Arabidopsis thaliana: one gene and its partners. The protein of the gene in region 3 interacts with the protein of the main gene of each other region in a pairwise test. Each region holds a gene or a part of one and is shown on either strand. Other genes may lie near its edges.

Region 1 (5,542 bases), on a different chromosome or scaffold from region 3:
TATTACTATAATGGATGGACATAGATAGGAACAAATTATGATATTGATAAGAAGAAGATACCAATATGAATAGTCATGATGCCGCTGTTGCAGCCAATGTCAAGACAGTCTTTGCCTTCAAACCATTCCTTCTTCAACACTTTAAGCCGAGGATCCTCATCCGTGTCATTGCTTATCTAACACATTATGTTGCCAAACGAATCCAAAATCAGATACTAAACCAAAAGATGAGCAGACTATGAAGGAATTTGAAAATATACTACGAAACTCACTCGGTAGCCATAGTAGTTTCTGTAATTTCCGAAGGGATAAACTTCTTGATTCTTCTTCTTCTTGCTTTGATTACAATTTCCTTGTTGTCCTTGTTGTTGCTTCTGCTTCTGCTGTGTTGGGACTTTCTCTTCATTAGCAACTACTTTCTCAACACTCTTCTCATTCTCATTACTTCTGTTTCTCTTCTTCTTATTCTTCTTCTGATCGTTGTCCCGACCCATTTTTTTCTCACACGCGTTGATGAACAAAGCTCGCGAAGTTAGGGTTTCTTCTATGTTATCGCTATCAGCTAGATTCTTAGAATCGAAACAAAACGATTAAGTCTAAACAGAGAGATTCGACGAAGCTAGCTCCTAGAGAGGTTTTTCTTCGAGGTTAAGCGGCGCAGAGCGAGGAGGAAGAAGAAGAAGAAGAACCGAACCGCCTTTGAAAGTCCAAAAGGGTTTAACGAGTCTCATATTTAAGTAATCCTCTCTTTTTTAGTTAATACATTCTTTAAACCTATTTATGTAAATATACGAAAGTTTCCTTTTCTTTCACCGACGTGGCCAAATTAATCTTAGAGAATTAACTTTTGTTTTTTTTTGGTCAATATGCATCAAATCTAGAACAATGGAAGCTTGCGAGTTATTGTGAAATCGTGACTCGTGTTTGAAGATAATAAAAACAAAGGAACTCATCAAAATGTTGCACTTGTCATCAAATATTGTACAGAAAATCTAGAATATAATTCCCCTCTCTCTTCTGCCATACAATTCTTCAACTCATCTCTGTTAATCGAAACAACTGCAGCGTCCGATGAACCGTGTTGATGATGATAAGCTTTCCCGAAAACGGAGAAGCAGCTGCTACTTTTTTAACACCAATTTGCCTAATCAGTACGGTCTGTAGCGCATAGGCCGTCTGAACCTGGGAACTCTCCTGCACAAACCATCAACCATTGTCAATTTTATGAACAACCATGATGAATCAAACAAATGGACTTTAAAAGAGAGGATAGGCAGGTAAGGTTCTAGAACACACCCATAAGCATATGGAGGATAAAATGGAACTCCTGGCATGAATCCCCTCATCGGTCTAAAGGGACGCCCTCTTCCTCGAAATTGCCTCATTCCAGGTACATTAGTCCTCTTTGCAGATACCTGAAAATAGATTAAACAAAGTTTAGTAATGACAAATCGTAATATGGAAAATAATTAACTACATCGTATTGAACGAGTTTGCACCTTTATCTGACGACCATGTAGTTCTGACTCGTTCAAAATAAGCGAATTCTGAACAGCTTCTACTTCCACAAATTCGACATACGCAAAACCTTTAGGTTGACCAAACTTATCTGTCAGAATTGTAACCCTATTCACTGTCCCACATGATTGAAAATGCTGCTGGACTTCCTCTGGAGTACATGCATAGTCCACCTAATATACACAAAAAAACAAAGACACAGGATATCTAAAGAATCAGCTTCACAGATGGGAGATATGAAGGCTTTCTGAAATATGAAGGAAAGTTAGTTTAGCAATTACTAGAGATAAAGAAATAAACAACAAGCAGCCTCCAAATTTCATTGATACCAAAGCAATAAAACACACAAACTTTCTTTAAAAAAGATACAAACATATATGAGAAACATGTGAAAATTAATGGTGGAACAAGCCTCACATTGCCAACATATATTGAACGCGAATCCACTTCTTCCTTCTCAGCCGCACTAACACCACCTGAAGGGTCTTCATTGATATGCAACAACATAAAAGGTATTGACCCAATTAGCTAACTGACAAGACTCCACAATACTATTAATGATTTCCTTCTCATACTCAAACTCCAGTAAATTTCTAGACAGATTCATTGATTCACTAAAAGATTCCAATATGTAAACCCAAAGCAATATCATAATCAACAAGACAAGCTTTAAACCTAATCTATCAATTTAAAGGTTAATGTGAAGCTGCGCACAAAGATTCAAGATTTTACGTATCAGTTAATAAGTACAAACCTTGACTAGCACCCATATCTTTCTCAGCCTTGGCTTGCATTTCACGCAAAGCTCCAGCTTCTTCCTCAATCTCCTTAATTCGTTTCTTCATATCCTCCAAGTCCTATCAAACAATCAAAGCAAATAACAGACTAAATACAGTAAAAAATAAGAAGAGTCTCAATTGGATAAAAGTAAATTATAGATCGAAGAATCACAATACCCTAGAGCTAGAGCCAGGTTCAAGCTCCTCATCTCCGGCGGCGGCACCTTCTTCTCCGCCGTGTTCTTCGTACTCTTCCGTATCCATCTCACCTTCTTCCTCTTCTGGGATCTCTCCACCGTACACCTCATGCTCTTGCTCATCGTGCACCGGCATCTTTCTCTCTCTATATCTCTCACTCGGCGACTGTCGTTAAAGCGAGAAACAGAAGTCTCGGAATTTTAGGGCTTGAAATCGGGAAAGAAGGGAAGGTTTGTTTGTAATTAAAGATACCCAAAAAGGATACTTTCGGAATTATGAAATCTTAAGTAGATTCACCAAAAGTGGACACAAAAGTACAATCAAACCCAATGGGCTTCTCAGATTAAAACGTGACGTGTAAAGTCGGTCCCACGAAAGTTTATTGTGGTTCCCATTAGTCATTAGTGATTACGTGGCACCTCACCCATTTAACTCAGTCCAGTGGTCTGAAAATCGTTTCGCTCTCTAAAAACCAAAACTCTTATCTTCGGTACAGAGCAAATCACAGCTCCCGATGGCCGCCACGTCATCATCACCGCCGTGTAACATCTCCGCGTCCTCCCTCCTCCTCCGTCAACCTTCTCGCTCAATCCTTAAAGTGTTCGGTTTATTACCACCTGTAAGTAGGAATAACCGTAAACTCGGCCGGTTAACGGTGACCCGGTCTAATCTGGCGCAGGATTTTCTTGGTGACTTCGGAGCTCGTGACCCTTACCCGGAGGAGATAGCGAGTCAATTCGGAGATAAAGTGTTGGGATGCCAAAGCACTGAGCACAAGATTTTGATACCAAACGCATCTGTTTTGTCTCTCTCCCAGCTTCAGTGTTCCCCTGTTTCGTCTTCACAGCCTCCTTTGTCCGGCGATGATGCCAGAACTCTCCTCCACAAGGTACTTATACTATTTCTCTCTTAGTATAAAAATGTTCGAGTTTTGATTTTACAAGTTTGTTGGTTGATCAAAATATTGTGAAAATGTTATTGATTCTGCGTTTAACAGATTTCTAATCTATAAAGATAGAATTGTGACCCAAAAATATAGAAAAGCCAATGAAAATTTTAGTATCATGAGGGACATATTAGGAACAATGGTTACGAGATTAAAAAAAAATGAAATGATTAGTGTTGATAAGGCTCATGTTGGTGTTTTGGTTCACGGTTACCACTCTAATGATGTGGTACATCAATCTCAATGATTATTATGTAAACGTTTTAGGTTTTGGGATGGAGTATAGTGGATAATGAAGCGGGTGGTCTGAAAATAAGGTGTATGTGGAAAGTGAGGGATTTTGGGTGCGGTGTTGAACTCATAAACAGGATCCATAAGGTTGCTGAAGCTTCTGGTCATTACCCTTCTCTTCACTTGGAAAGTCCTACCCAAGTTCGAGCTGAACTATTTACCTCTTCTATCGGTATGTCAAATATTTGATGTTCGAGTTTGAGTTTTAATATATGGTTTCTTAAGACGGTTTGTTGGATGAATAATGCAGGAGGGTTGAGCATGAATGATTTCATAATGGCGGCTAAAATAGATGATATCAAGACTTCTGATCTTTCCCCTAGGAAAAGAGCTTGGGCGTGATCTTCTTTTCATTATTTTGGAACATTTTTGTTTGATAGTATGTAATGTATGTGATGTATTCTAAATTGTGTGTGATCGGTCTACATGTCGAGTTATATAGAAAGCATTGTCATAACCGCATAAGAGATATCACGCAACATGTCTTTGAGATTCATTCATCAATCAAAAGAAGAAAGAACATCAATCATATGGAGCACAATATAAGAAATGAGACATTATTATTAGATTAAGACATTATTATTATCATTTCTTCTTCTAGAACATTCTGGGACTAACAAAAAATTCGAAAAAACACAACTACATTTTTGCATTCTAATAGGCGGTGGTGGTTGGAGGACTAGCCATTTTGGAGCATTGGTGTTTCATCATAGGAGGGAAAAACGGGTTGGATGGAAGATTTGGTAAGCAGTTAGCTTCAGCGTCAAGGAAAGCTTTACAACAAGCAGGACCAACGCCTTCAAATTTGCCGGACATTACGGCTTGTTGAATCTCTTCAAAGCATCCCGGCAAATCCATCACTGTTGACCAACATTTGCTCAAGTCGGGACTTCCTGCCATACCGGGACTTGGTTTGAACGGATTTGGAAACGGGAACATGATTGGGGGAAACTGCGGTAGCTGAGCATTAACGGAGGCTGCGATGCATACAACTACTAGGAGAGAAACAACACTCTTGATCGACATGATGAATATTTGGGGGACTATGCAACAAGAGAAATAGATGACTTGAGTTTTGTTTGATGAGATAAAGTTATTGGCTATGAGATCCAATTTATACTGTAATTAGTTTGGCGAAACGTATTTTTAAAAGTTGCTTTCAAAATCAAATTTGTCGTTTTAATTTTGGAAGAAAATCAAAAATAGTCAAAACGTTTGATGCACATTGAATTTGATGCTGTCATATTTCTCATATGTAAAGAAATAAATCTTTCCTAACAATATGATAGGAAATAATACAAAGATGACAGAAGGGAAGCAGTAACAAATTTTAAGTCTCTTTCGTCTTTATTCATCTTGATATATATCATCTCCTAATTTTTTTTTTGAGATTTTATTTACATTCATAGCAAGAAAAAGAAAAAAATCTTTTCAATTTAGGAATTGTTTTTCTTCCAACTTTTTGGAATCCTCTATATAGTAAAAGATGTGGCAAGCCCATAATTGTTCTCATCATTTTTATTTTTCATTTATTGAATATAATATACTCATTGTCAAACACTATTAATTCCACTATCCTTATCCTTATCCTTATTATTTTTTAAACCAAACATATTTTAATATTAAATACACCATCCAAAAATAATATTTTCGGATTTCTAAATATTTAGCTTATAGAAAGATTTCTTATTTATCAAATAAATTAATTTAATCAAATTTAAATTTACTATTTCCCAAATTACTAAAAACTTAACTTTTAAAATTAAAACATTAAATTATATAGCCCATATTTTTATCCTATAAATTTCAT
Region 2 (5,196 bases), on a different chromosome or scaffold from region 3:
GCGAAAAATTGGCCAGTCCATTTGTGTTGAACCAGCTGAACAACACCACTACTTCCTTTGCCAATGACTTTAACCATATCCAAATCCGACAAGCTCAGCTGATCATCAGCTGGCTTAATTGGAGACAGCTGAAACACAGTCGCAAACGAAACAGATTACAAACAGTAATCTAGAAGATATGAGCTTAATCCCTGAGTTTCTCTATCCAGAACTACAGAAATGATCTTAAGAAGGTTCTAATTATGATCAGATCCACCAACCACATTACAGTTAATGCATTCAAACTCAACAAAATCTTCATATGCAGTACAAATAAACAATCAAACCTAACACTCGCGAAATTCAGTAAAATCAGCACCGAACGAGGAAGAGGAAAGACTTACGACTTCAGGCTCCAATTGAGAAATGATTCGAACTCCATCCTTGTTAACACGTAGATCTCCATCCTTAAACGTACCGCTTTGAGTCCTACAGAGAGAACCAAAACCTTTCCTCCTTCAAAAACAAAACCAGAGACATTTCCACACACAAATACATCTATCTATCCACAGATCCATGGAGAAAGAGAGATCGAGAAACATACAGGAATTTGGTGATGGATTGCTCGCCAGCAACAGGAATTGCGAGCTTGAGATTATTGCTGAATCCACCTTTCTTCATCGTCTTCGTCTACTTCGTTCTTCGCTTCTTCCTTTTTGTTGTTTCCTCGTCATTATATATTAAGTAAAACACAGTTTTAAGCATAATTCATGTACTTTTCAGCCAGAAATTGGAATTTGGAAATAAAACAGCCATTAATTAATATTAGTCAAGCACATGTTCACGACGTTGACCAACGACTTAGAGACTTTCCCATTTACTACTTCTTTTTCCCGGTTTTCTTTGACCGAAAAGTTTTAATCCACATTTTAACCGGAAACAAACCGGTTAATTCAGTGATTCTTCGTTCTTTAGCTTTTGGTTTTTAAACACTCCCAAAATCACCACTACAACAAAACGCTAACGCAGAATGCCAAACTAACGTTTGATATTTATAGAAAGTTTTCAATATTTCAAATATTGTTTGATCAAATACAATAAACACATATAACAAACAGTAAAATCTTTACTTATGTTTCTCGGTTTCATGTTTGAAGATAACAAGGTTTTCTTCAACAAGGAATATACAAATAAGCATACACCCCTATATTTGTTTTACTCATGTATACATTCAATTACACATCGAAATTATCACACAAAGAAAAATTGTTTCGAATTGATTAATCTATCTATCAGTATACTTCATGTCTAGTCTCTATAACCAACAAGAACATGCTATTCTTCAACATTGTCTATATATTATAAGCCCTATATACATTATATAGTCACAGACTCAGAGAGGCTCCACAAACGATTTCCCCAAACATAATCCTATCACAAATTGCGGGGGGCAAGAGCTACTAGAGGCAATGATCATGAGGTTCGTTCATATCTCCATCATGTTGAAGGAGAATTTCGAAAGAAGCTTAGGAATTTGCGACATGATCGGCCCATAAGTCTGCAACGCATAAATGAAACATCACAACACATAATTAAATACAGCTTGATTGACTGACCCTGTTAGTTTTACCAGGAACATCGATTAAAAGTTCACGATGAGTTAAGGGCAATGCAAGTAAGATAGTACATACCTTTTCATTTTCATGGAGTTGACACAATGGAACAGCGAGGAGTTTGAAGTTCTTAGGCACAACAAACTGTTGATGTACCGGTAATCTCACAAGAAAAAGCTTTGTGCATTCCTACACAAAAGATGAGGATAGAGCAGAGCTTTTAGTATAAGCGCAAATCTTCAAAAGTCTCAACTTTTTCTTACAATGAAAGTGAAACTAACTAACCAACCTTTGGGTGTTTAATATTAGGTGGCAAGAAAGGATACATCAATGTCTCAAAGTTGGGTCTCCACCACATCCCAATACATTCTCCTACCTACAACAATGTTGTAATTAGAGAGACCATTCTTAAGCCAGAAACAATCAGATACAAAAGCACTTTAACAAGAAGCCATAGTTCCTACCTCATAACCCGAAACACCCACATTTTCGTTAACCGATAGCTTTGATGCTAGTTTCCGTTTTAGACCTTCAATATCTAGAAGATTAAGGAGAAACATGACTTTAGCGTTTAGAATTGAGACAGCGATATTTATGCATAAAGATGCAAGGAAACAGCATACTAAACCTGATTCTCCAGGTCTCAAACGACCACCAGGAAGCTTGAAAATGGAGTTTCTATATTGAAGAAGCAAAACATGAGGATGCTTGAACAACTCAACCTGATGTGTCCCAACATTAGATTTTAATCAATCCTTTCAAACCAATTTTCCCTGTAAAACTTTTCAAAATCCCTAATTTGGCTACCAACTATAAAATTACCAGAAGAACAGCTTCAACGCAAGTTCTCAATCCATGAGCAGCATAACTTCAAAAGAAACAAAAAAGAAACTTTAGCTATAGATTAAAACAATAAGAAAAAAACCAGATGATCTAAATCACATCAAAACTCGATTTACTTGGATTTCAATCTGATGACTCGATCAGAGATAATCTCGTCCTTGACGCGAAGAGCTTCTTTTGAACCGAAGTAGTAGCTGCTAAGCGGGTATAAATCAACCATCAAGTCATGAACGACATCGTTTCGTCTCGTCGTGTTGTCACTGATCTCCTCCATATCTAACGCTCGAGCTTCTTCACCCATTTTCTGCCCGTAAAATTCAAAGACGAGAGCTAAAAGCGATCTCAATCGATTAAAATTAAATAACAGAGAGACCACGAGAGCAGAGAAGACGCAAGAAGAAGAGTGAAGAAAGGTGTCGTAGTCGGATCACTGAGACGTGGCGGCTCCAGAGAGTACTTCTCCGCAATTAGCTGACGACGGCGGGAGAGTGAGGAAGAAGATATTAATGGGCCTGTTACGATATTAATGGGCCTTTAGTAGTAAACAAGAATACGGAACGATGTTAAACACTCTATTGTTTCCAACTACTAAAAACGACGCGAGTTTCTATTTTATAACTAAAAAACGAGAATCAAAGTCTCTGTTTCAAATTTGGGTCTTTTGCTTCTTCTTGCTCACTTGAGGAAACACAGTAAAAACCTAAAAAGAGAATGAAACTCGCAGGTCTGAAATCGATCGAGAACGCTCACGAAGATTCCGTTTGGGCAGCGACGTGGGTTCCGGCGACGGAAGATCGACCGGCGTTGCTTCTGACTGGATCTCTTGACGAGACGGTGAAGTTATGGCGACCGGACGAGCTGGATCTTGTGCGGACTAATACTGGACACTCTTTGGGAGTAGCAGCTTTGGCTGCGCATCCTTCTGGGATTATTGCAGCATCTTCTTCGATTGATAGCTTTGTCCGTGTGTTTGATGTTGATACTAATGCTACGATTGCTGTTTTGGAAGCTCCTCCTTCTGAGGTTTGGGGAATGCAATTTGAACCTAAGGTAATTGACTCAATGAGATTGCCTCCAATTTTAGGGTTTTGAAGGATTTTGGGTTGTTTTGTGGTGAAAGAATTCGATTGCTTCATTGAATTTCACTTCTTAGTTGCGAGTAATGCTTCTCCTGATCTATATAACAATGCTTGGGTACTATATGGAATTGCTGAGTATCGTTTGAATCTGTAGCTCTGATCAGATAGGGTCATCTACTCTGCTCGGAAAATAGATCTAGATCATCTTCTGATTTTTCATTGAGTCTTATATAGTAGATTAAGAACAATTTATTGGTGCTTTGATGATAAATCTTGATTTGGTATGATAGAATTTTGACCTGGTGACTATCAAGTATCAGTGCAATGATCTCTCTTTTAGTTTGCAGTGGAGTTTTTATTTGCTTCTGAGCTTATAATTTCAACATTACTCTTTAGAATGGTGCTCTGCTAACATAGTATTTTACATGTTCCAAGGGTACGATCCTTGCTGTTGCAGGTGGAAGTAGTGCCTCAGTCAAGCTTTGGGACACTGCAAGCTGGAGATTAATCTCAACTCTATCAATCCCACGCCCAGATGCACCAAAACCTTCCGATAAAACCAGCAGCAAGAAATTCGTTCTCTCGGTGGCTTGGTCTCCTAATGGGAAACGACTTGCTTGTGGTTCAATGGATGGTACGATCTGTGTTTTTGATGTTGACCGCTCAAAGCTACTTCACCAGCTAGAAGGTCACAATATGCCTGTAAGGTCCCTTGTGTTCTCCCCTGTAGACCCGAGAGTCCTCTTCTCTGGATCAGATGATGGGCATGTGAACATGCACGATGCAGAAGGGAAAACGCTGTTGGGGTCCATGTCAGGGCACACGAGTTGGGTGCTGAGCGTTGATGCTAGCCCAGACGGTGGAGCCATAGCAACCGGCTCAAGCGATAGAACTGTGAGGCTATGGGATCTTAAAATGAGAGCTGCGATTCAGACAATGAGCAACCACAATGACCAGGTTTGGTCTGTGGCCTTTAGACCACCAGGTGGAACCGGTGTCCGGGCTGGTCGACTTGCTAGTGTCTCTGATGACAAGAGTGTATCGCTCTATGATTACTCATGAACAATTCGGTTTTTTGACTTTTTTCTTTTATGCATTCTCCAAGACGCATCTAGTTGTAACAATATAATCTGCAACAGGTTGATTTTGACCGGAGTCTTTAGATTTATCGCTTACACAAAAAACAAAGAAGATAAAATGATTCAAACTTTGCGATAGAACTTTATTGGAAAACTGAGAAACAGATAAAGATCACAGAGAGATGAGTTGAAGAGTAACGCAAACAAACGTCTAAAAGTTTTCAAAAAACAAAACAGCTAAAGATTATGGTCTTGTCTCTTATGACGTAAGTGTATTACTTCCTAAGTAACTCTTGAGAACATCCATGACAGCTCCGAAATCTGCTTTCACATCAACAGGAGGATTGGAGAATCTGCAAGCCATGTCAGGGATGGCATTGGAGTGATAATCTATCTTAGACTGAGTAAACTTCAACCCATGAGCAGTACTCACTACCACAGTTCGATCAGTCGGTGCAATCACTCCTTGATTCCTCAGCTTGAACAGAGCAGTTAGAGCAACACCTGTATGAGGACAGATAAACATTCCTGTCGAATCCGCTTGAGCCATCGCATCCATCAGCTCCTCCTCTGTGGCTTCTTCTACAATACCATTGCACTTCT
Region 3 (6,342 bases):
ACTATGTTTAACGTGCGTGACGGCATTAGGTTATACAAATATATAAAATGAAAGAAGACTTAGACCGGTGGAATTAAAAGGAAGTATCGAGTGTTCTTTTTAGACATTTCAATCTTGGTTTTAAGGTATTTCAACTTTAATGAAAACTCTAGAATAATCATTTCACCTTTTTCTTCTCTTTTAACCAGTGATTGACCCAATCCCTACTTAGTTGAGCAATCATGATCATCCTGAGATTATGATATAAGTATTATTCTTTTTTTTGTTGTTGTTACACTAATCTTGGAGATATTTAATTATCACTATGAACATAAAAATCCAATCCTGATGTTAACACGAGTTTTAATTAGAATTAATATTTTTCAACGAAACATATGAACATGACAACATCCTATTATTAGATTAGATGCGGAACATATTTTTCAAGTTGCAAAGCCTAAGAGAAGTAGCCACCTCTCAAATTTGGTCATAGAAAGATGTAGGTTTGACTCATCAAATAGTGTACGTAATTATGTTGCCTTACTTTGACTCGCTTCTTCATTACTTTATTTTGGTTTTGAATTGCCACTCCCGCCTTACTTTCTTTTCCTTTTCGCCATCTTTTTTTTTTTTCGATTTTGCATGATTGCCTTATTTTTCTTTTACTTACAAACTTTTGTAAAATACTAATGGTAAATTAATCTGGAAACCGGAGATCGGTTTTATGTAGCTTATGGATTGTGGGGAGGTAAAACGTCTGAAGAGAACTCATGCTCACGAGAAGTAGCTTCTTCTGTGCGTTTACGGCTTTGGTTTTGTGTGTGAAACTTCGCATTATCTTTGTTTTGTGTAGCACAAACACATTTAACACCCGATATGCCATCTTATTAAAGTAATCGAGAAATCGGTTTTATGAAGCTTTTTCATATATAGGGTGGTTTCGGTTTGATATCAAGACTCCCGTAGTCGCAAACACACTCTTACAAAGATGGTTCAGAGCTATCAGTTTTTGCTGTTGTTGTTTTCAACGGATGTATATGGTTCAACTATATTTACATTTTTTTTTAAAAGATCCAACTATATTAACATTTCATGACACAATCACTCGATAACCATTGAATATATAGATATTGTAAGACTGACCATGTTCAGTTAACACAAGAAGAGTCCAAATGCTAAATCTTCAAATTTGATGGGCACTAGTCATAGTTTATATGCTAACAACTTTAATAAGAAATTCAAAGGACGTAGCTCGTTGGTGAGCAAAGAATAAGACGACAAGGAGCAATAGGCTTAATGACAGACAATTCGCTAACTTCTAAAGTTGGTCACTTCGTAAGAATGATACAATGAAGCTTAATATTTTAATATATCATATTAGATATTTTTGGTTTTGGTTTTAATCATTTAGATATTTGCATATAACGAATGCAAGTAAAAAACAATTTAGGCGATTGCACAAACCCCACCATTTAGATTTGTTTCCACATATATACTCAATGTTACTATCTTCCAAAACTCATACCAGATTTGTTTTAAACACATTAAACATAGGATCTTCTATGATGAAAGTGTTGTAATGAGCCCGTGTCACCAATTCTCCCATGCATGCTTATTATCGATTTGGGCTCTTTTCAAAGGCCCATCGGTGATATATTGGGCTTTCTAAATGCTGGTTTTGTCTATAGCGCCCAACTTGATCACCTTTAAAATCCTAAACTCATCAAAAACCAAAGACCGAATCCAACTTAGAACACGAATACAAATCATGAATGTTAGATCTAAAGGACAAGGTTCCCTCAAAAAAAATAAGAAATAATTTTATACAAAAGGAAATGAACAAAAGCAATGTTTATGAGTAAACGCCAAGAGGACAAAATGTAGAACACATTGAAATGGTATCAAATACTAAAACACACTGTTCCATATATTAATGCACAATATCACTAAGAGCTGCCATTTATACCAGTGGACCTTCACGGACCATGTGACTGCACCGCTTCTTGAAGGCTCTTCACAGCGCTTTCATAAGTCACAAACCCCATAAACCAGAACTCGTGGTTGTCGATGGAAATCACTTGTATGTATTTATCAGATGTGTTCACTCTACTTGTTGATGGGTTCACTGCCTTCAGCTGATTCGCCGGAAGTACCACCTGATCATCACATCAAAATCATCAGCCACAGACTTTACAAGGAAGAATGACAGAAAATAGACTGCAAGTGCAAGGTTCTCAAGGAACGAAAAAAGGTTCTCAAGAACCACCCAAATCTTAAAATCAGTTTTCCAAAGATCATGTTGTCAAGAAGCTTTCTGCTTGGTTTAATAGGATTTCAGCTCATGTTAGATGTTTACATTAGAACCAGTCCAAACTCTCAAACTAACAATTATTCAATGGCTCCCCTAGTTTTATCAAGAATGCTACAAGATTTAGCTTACTCTCTTAGGCAAACCACTAAAGTCCTAATTGTCTACATAGGAACTAACATGCAACTACTCAACAATATCGTTAGAATGATTATGTAGTTTCCATTTACTATAAGCGTACACACACTACGTTCTATACGTCAATAACTAGAAATGACAAGAAAATTTGTTATAGTCTATGAATCTATGTAAATAGATGCATTGAAAATGACTTAACTCACTTAACGCTTTATCATGTCACCATCAAATATTACATTCGCTGAATCTTTGTTCTCAAATAGTTTTCTTAGATGTAAATAGATATAAAATAAAAGAGTTAGAAAGAAAAAGTAACCATAGGATAGAGAGCGAGTATACCTTGTAATAGCTCCACAGGGTCTGCTCACCCTCTTTGTAAGAGAGAGGATTGTCACTAGAGAACGCAAGCTTGTGAGTCGAAAGATACATAACTCCCAGGACAGGACCAGCAGATGTAGACAAGTAGCAAGCATAGGTCTTGAGAAGTTTTTCATCAGGAAGGCAATCAAATGTTTGCTTGAAGACCTTCTCGTATCCACCCTCTGCAAGTATTTTTGTCCCCTGAGCAATTCGTGAAACAGCAGCATCTGCTACACTTGGGCCTGTTTTCACTGAAAAAGAAAGGATAGATATCAAAACGTATACTCTCAAGTCTCAATTCATATAAAATATCATCCCTCCCTCCAACCATATGTATATAATACTAATTCATCACACAAGCGGAGAAATAAAGCCAAAACAACCTATACTAGAGAAGCTTCAAGAGTCAAAGGCAATAACCAGATACAAAGAACTAATTGGCTTAAACTCAAACGGAAGAGCATGAATATCAAAATTGTTGGCTAGATTTAGTGTCGGTGGTTGAACGCGAAGTAAAATTCCGAAGAAGCGCCAATTGATGAACACTAACTTAACCAGAAGGGGCATAACCAATACCATCGTATTCTCCAAGAGACGGTAATCAGATTAATTGGTAATTCATCTAATCGAGGGGGAAGAAGAAGAAGAAGAAGAAGCGCTTACAGTGCTGCCAAAAATTTCCGGCGAGATCCTCCGCCTTCTTGGTGGCGTCGGCAGCCATTTTCCCCCATTTCCCTAACGTATCCTTCACCGAATCCATCGTATCTGTCCCCAAACCAAGATCAATCAATCAATCAAAGGCAGAAATTGGATTAGGATGCGAAATCGGATAGAGAGAAGAAGAACTCACTCCTTGGGGCAGGGGAAGGAGAAACGTAAGGATTGGATTCCGCTGGCATGGTGGTTGCGGCGGCACCGGTGGGAATAGGCTGAGGAGGAGGAGGAGTGACGTCGGTAGGATCGAGCTTAGGGTAAGGAGCGTAGTCAGAGGAGTGAGCAGCAGCCTTGGAAGGCTCCGACGCGGCGGCGGGCGTAGAAGAGATCCGGCCATGATCATGATTCTCTTGCCCACTCATGATTTGATGTTTTCTTCTTCTTCTTTCGAAATGAACTTTTTATTTTTTTGGTTTGGGTTAAGTAATGAAATAAGAGATGGTTCGAATCTCGCAGGCAACAAATAATAATTGAATTAAAATGTCTGTCCGCGTTACGTTGGCATTATTAATCGTAAATAATTTAAGTAGCCTCTTTCCCAAAGTCGGTCTAACATATATATCTCGTGCGGTCTTAAACAGTAGACGAAACTTAATGCAATTAGTTTCTGTAACGGATACTAGTATTCAATTATACCTTTCCTCTAGAACATATCCATAATCCATGTATGTACACCGGTTTTGTGCCCGTTTATCTTCCTCAAGAAATTCAGACCTTCTTCACTTACGATTTTTGTTTTAACTAAAAAATATCTTATTCTAACTTTTTGATTGCTTGGTTTATGTTTTTTAGTTTGGAGTCCAGACCATAATCCGTCCGTGTGTATTTGGACTGTAAAAACCCACATGCGGTCCACCCAATTGACAGTTCTAATCATAATAACAACAACAAAACAAGTTAGATTGTAACCGCTATTGATATACCACAAAAAATTGCTATTTTTTCCGATGAAGGTTAAGAGTGTCTTTATCATTTCGGACATTCGACGATAAAATTTTGTTGTGTTGAAAACATAGTTACCATATCAAAAAACTAGTTTTCATCCAAAAAGAAAAGTTGATTCACATTCTTCTTGATGGTATTTAAACGAATGACATTTTTTTGAAGTTTCATATAGCTCAAACACTCAACGGTTTAAATGAAGCTTCTTATATAAACCTCAAAATCAGATTGAACCTAAATGATCTTGGGAACTCAAGTCCGTATCCATAAAGCTTACTTTTTATAATCCAAGCAGCATCTAAGTTACATTTATCAAACCTTTTTCCAAATTTTCTAAGACTATATGTGTACAAGGATTTTATTCACAAAATTAACGGTGTTGAAGAAATTCTACAACATCTTTTTCCAAATCACTTTCAACTTTTAATTCAAACAGTTAACTTGTAAATAGTCTAACTCACTATTTTCTTTACCGCTACAAAATAACGACCGCCAATTTTTTACCATTTTGTTTTTACCGTTTCACTAAATTAATTAACTACGGAGAATGAGAGAATACGTGTTTAACCCATTTCGAGTCTTCTGAACCAGAGAGAGACTCTGGACGTAGTGGCGAGAAAGCAAAAGATTTAGCGAACGTCTCTTCTCTCGTCTCTCGTCAGCATATGCGTAAGAGCATCTCCATTGGTGAGATACTCCATGAGTACCTCATAATATATTATTAATATTTTAATTTAAGTAGAGAAACTTATACTAAAATTGTGCTTCCATTGGTGAAATACTCTTATGAGTATCTCATTAACATTAACATATTATTATATGTTTTTTATATTAAATTTAAAATCTCTACAATATTTTCAAACATATCAATTATTATTTTTACAATTATATTATTAAATAGTTTTATTATTTTTAAAACCATAATTAAACATAATTAAACATAATTAAACATTACTTTACATATAAAATCATAATAAAAAATATATCAATTAAACATAAAATTCCATATAAAACCATGATAACATAAATTAAATAGAAAAAATATATAAATTACACAGAAATTACATATAAAACCATGATAACATAAATCAAAACTAACTATATTATCTATTATGGTTTTACTCTTCATTTGATAATGCACCAAACTTTTGTCATATATGCTCAACTAGGTCATCTTTTAGTTGTTGGTGCATATCTCTATCACGAAGTCGAATTCGATTGCCAAAAATGTTGTAAAATAAAAATAGAAAATTTTAAATGTTTGTTTTCTAATTAAAAAAAAACTATTGTATTTATAAGTTATTATTATGTTTAATGCTTAACTAACACCAATTAAATAATATTCGTATATAATTTAAACATATATATAATAGAGCTTGTTATATAGATAATTTAATTTTATGAATTTTAAAAGTAAAAAAAAAAAAAAAAATAAACATATAAAGTATTTAATTGATGTTATAAAATATAAATGATTTTATTTATAACAAAGAAAAGAAATTAATGACAAGATGACATTTGGAAGAGAGATAAAATTTCTCCAAGTTTCTCATTTCAGAAAATATTCTAAAAAAAACTGATTAAAAAATTATTATTTTAATATTTTTGATTTATGTTTGTTTGGAATTTATCATGGAAATGGTCTAAGGGTTTAACTCTCAAAATCAAAAACCTCTCCGTTTTTTCCTCTCTGTTTAGCTTTGAATTCACAAGAGTCATGCGAAGATTCAACTGGGTTTGTTTTCTTCATCCCTCTCTAGATTTAGCTTCATCGTTTTCTTCTTCTTCCTTTCAATTTTGAAATTGAGTCCTCGAGAGAGCTGAAATCATTTTGTAATTTATGTTTATATCGTAGGTTCTGCGGCATGTACAAGCTCGAAGAACTTTTGATTCCGCGATCG

Evidence for each region.
Region 1: the proteins of FIP1 (region 3) and PABN1 interact in a two-hybrid assay, tested with the Arabidopsis thaliana proteins (one study listed by BioGRID).
Region 2: the proteins of FIP1 (region 3) and CFIM-25 interact in a two-hybrid assay, tested with the Arabidopsis thaliana proteins (one study listed by BioGRID).

The regions. Positions count from the first base shown.
Region 1 is NC_003076.8:20,776,848-20,782,389, reverse strand, and holds PABN1 (polyadenylate-binding protein 1), read right to left. Parts: upstream 2,730-5,542; 5' UTR 2,631-2,729; coding exon 2,475-2,630; intron 2,376-2,474; coding exon 2,273-2,375; intron 2,194-2,272; coding exon 2,071-2,193; intron 2,004-2,070; coding exon of another isoform or gene 1,995-2,003; coding exon 1,936-1,994; intron 1,692-1,935; coding exon 1,500-1,691; intron 1,416-1,499; coding exon 1,297-1,415; intron 1,195-1,296; coding exon 1,149-1,194; 3' UTR 833-1,148; downstream 1-832. Other genes in the region: AT5G51130 (S-adenosyl-L-methionine-dependent methyltransferases superfamily protein), read right to left, coding at 62-176, 273-494; AT5G51110 (Transcriptional coactivator/pterin dehydratase), read left to right, coding at 3,010-3,384, 3,709-3,904, 3,983-4,074; AT5G51105 (ECA1 gametogenesis family protein (DUF1278)), read right to left, coding at 4,387-4,758.
Region 2 is NC_003075.7:14,594,582-14,599,777, forward strand, and holds CFIM-25 (homolog of CFIM-25), read right to left. Parts: upstream 2,936-5,196; 5' UTR 2,737-2,935; coding exon 2,552-2,736; intron 2,461-2,551; coding exon 2,415-2,460; intron 2,315-2,414; coding exon 2,221-2,314; intron 2,131-2,220; coding exon 2,057-2,130; intron 1,969-2,056; coding exon 1,882-1,968; intron 1,782-1,881; coding exon 1,671-1,781; intron 1,538-1,670; coding exon 1,466-1,537; 3' UTR 1,099-1,465; downstream 1-1,098. Other genes in the region: MKK2 (MAP kinase kinase 2), read right to left, coding at 1-128, 384-495, 584-660; VIP3 (Transducin/WD40 repeat-like superfamily protein), read left to right, coding at 3,147-3,485, 3,950-4,576; MTO2 (Pyridoxal-5'-phosphate-dependent enzyme family protein), read right to left, coding at 4,853-5,196. UniProt on the Arabidopsis thaliana protein: Component of the cleavage factor Im (CFIm) complex that plays a key role in pre-mRNA 3'-processing. Involved in association with CPSF6 or CPSF7 in pre-MRNA 3'-end poly(A) site cleavage and poly(A) addition.
Region 3 is NC_003070.9:9,848,440-9,854,781, forward strand, and holds FIP1 (FH interacting protein 1), read right to left. Parts: upstream 4,011-6,342; 5' UTR 3,862-4,010; coding exon 3,636-3,861; intron 3,551-3,635; coding exon 3,449-3,550; intron 3,037-3,448; coding exon 2,765-3,036; intron 2,136-2,764; coding exon 1,956-2,135; 3' UTR 1,946-1,955; exon of another isoform or gene 1,694-1,945; 3' UTR 1,405-1,693; downstream 1-1,404. Other genes in the region: ATJ1 (DNAJ heat shock family protein), read left to right, coding at 6,159-6,176, 6,297-6,342.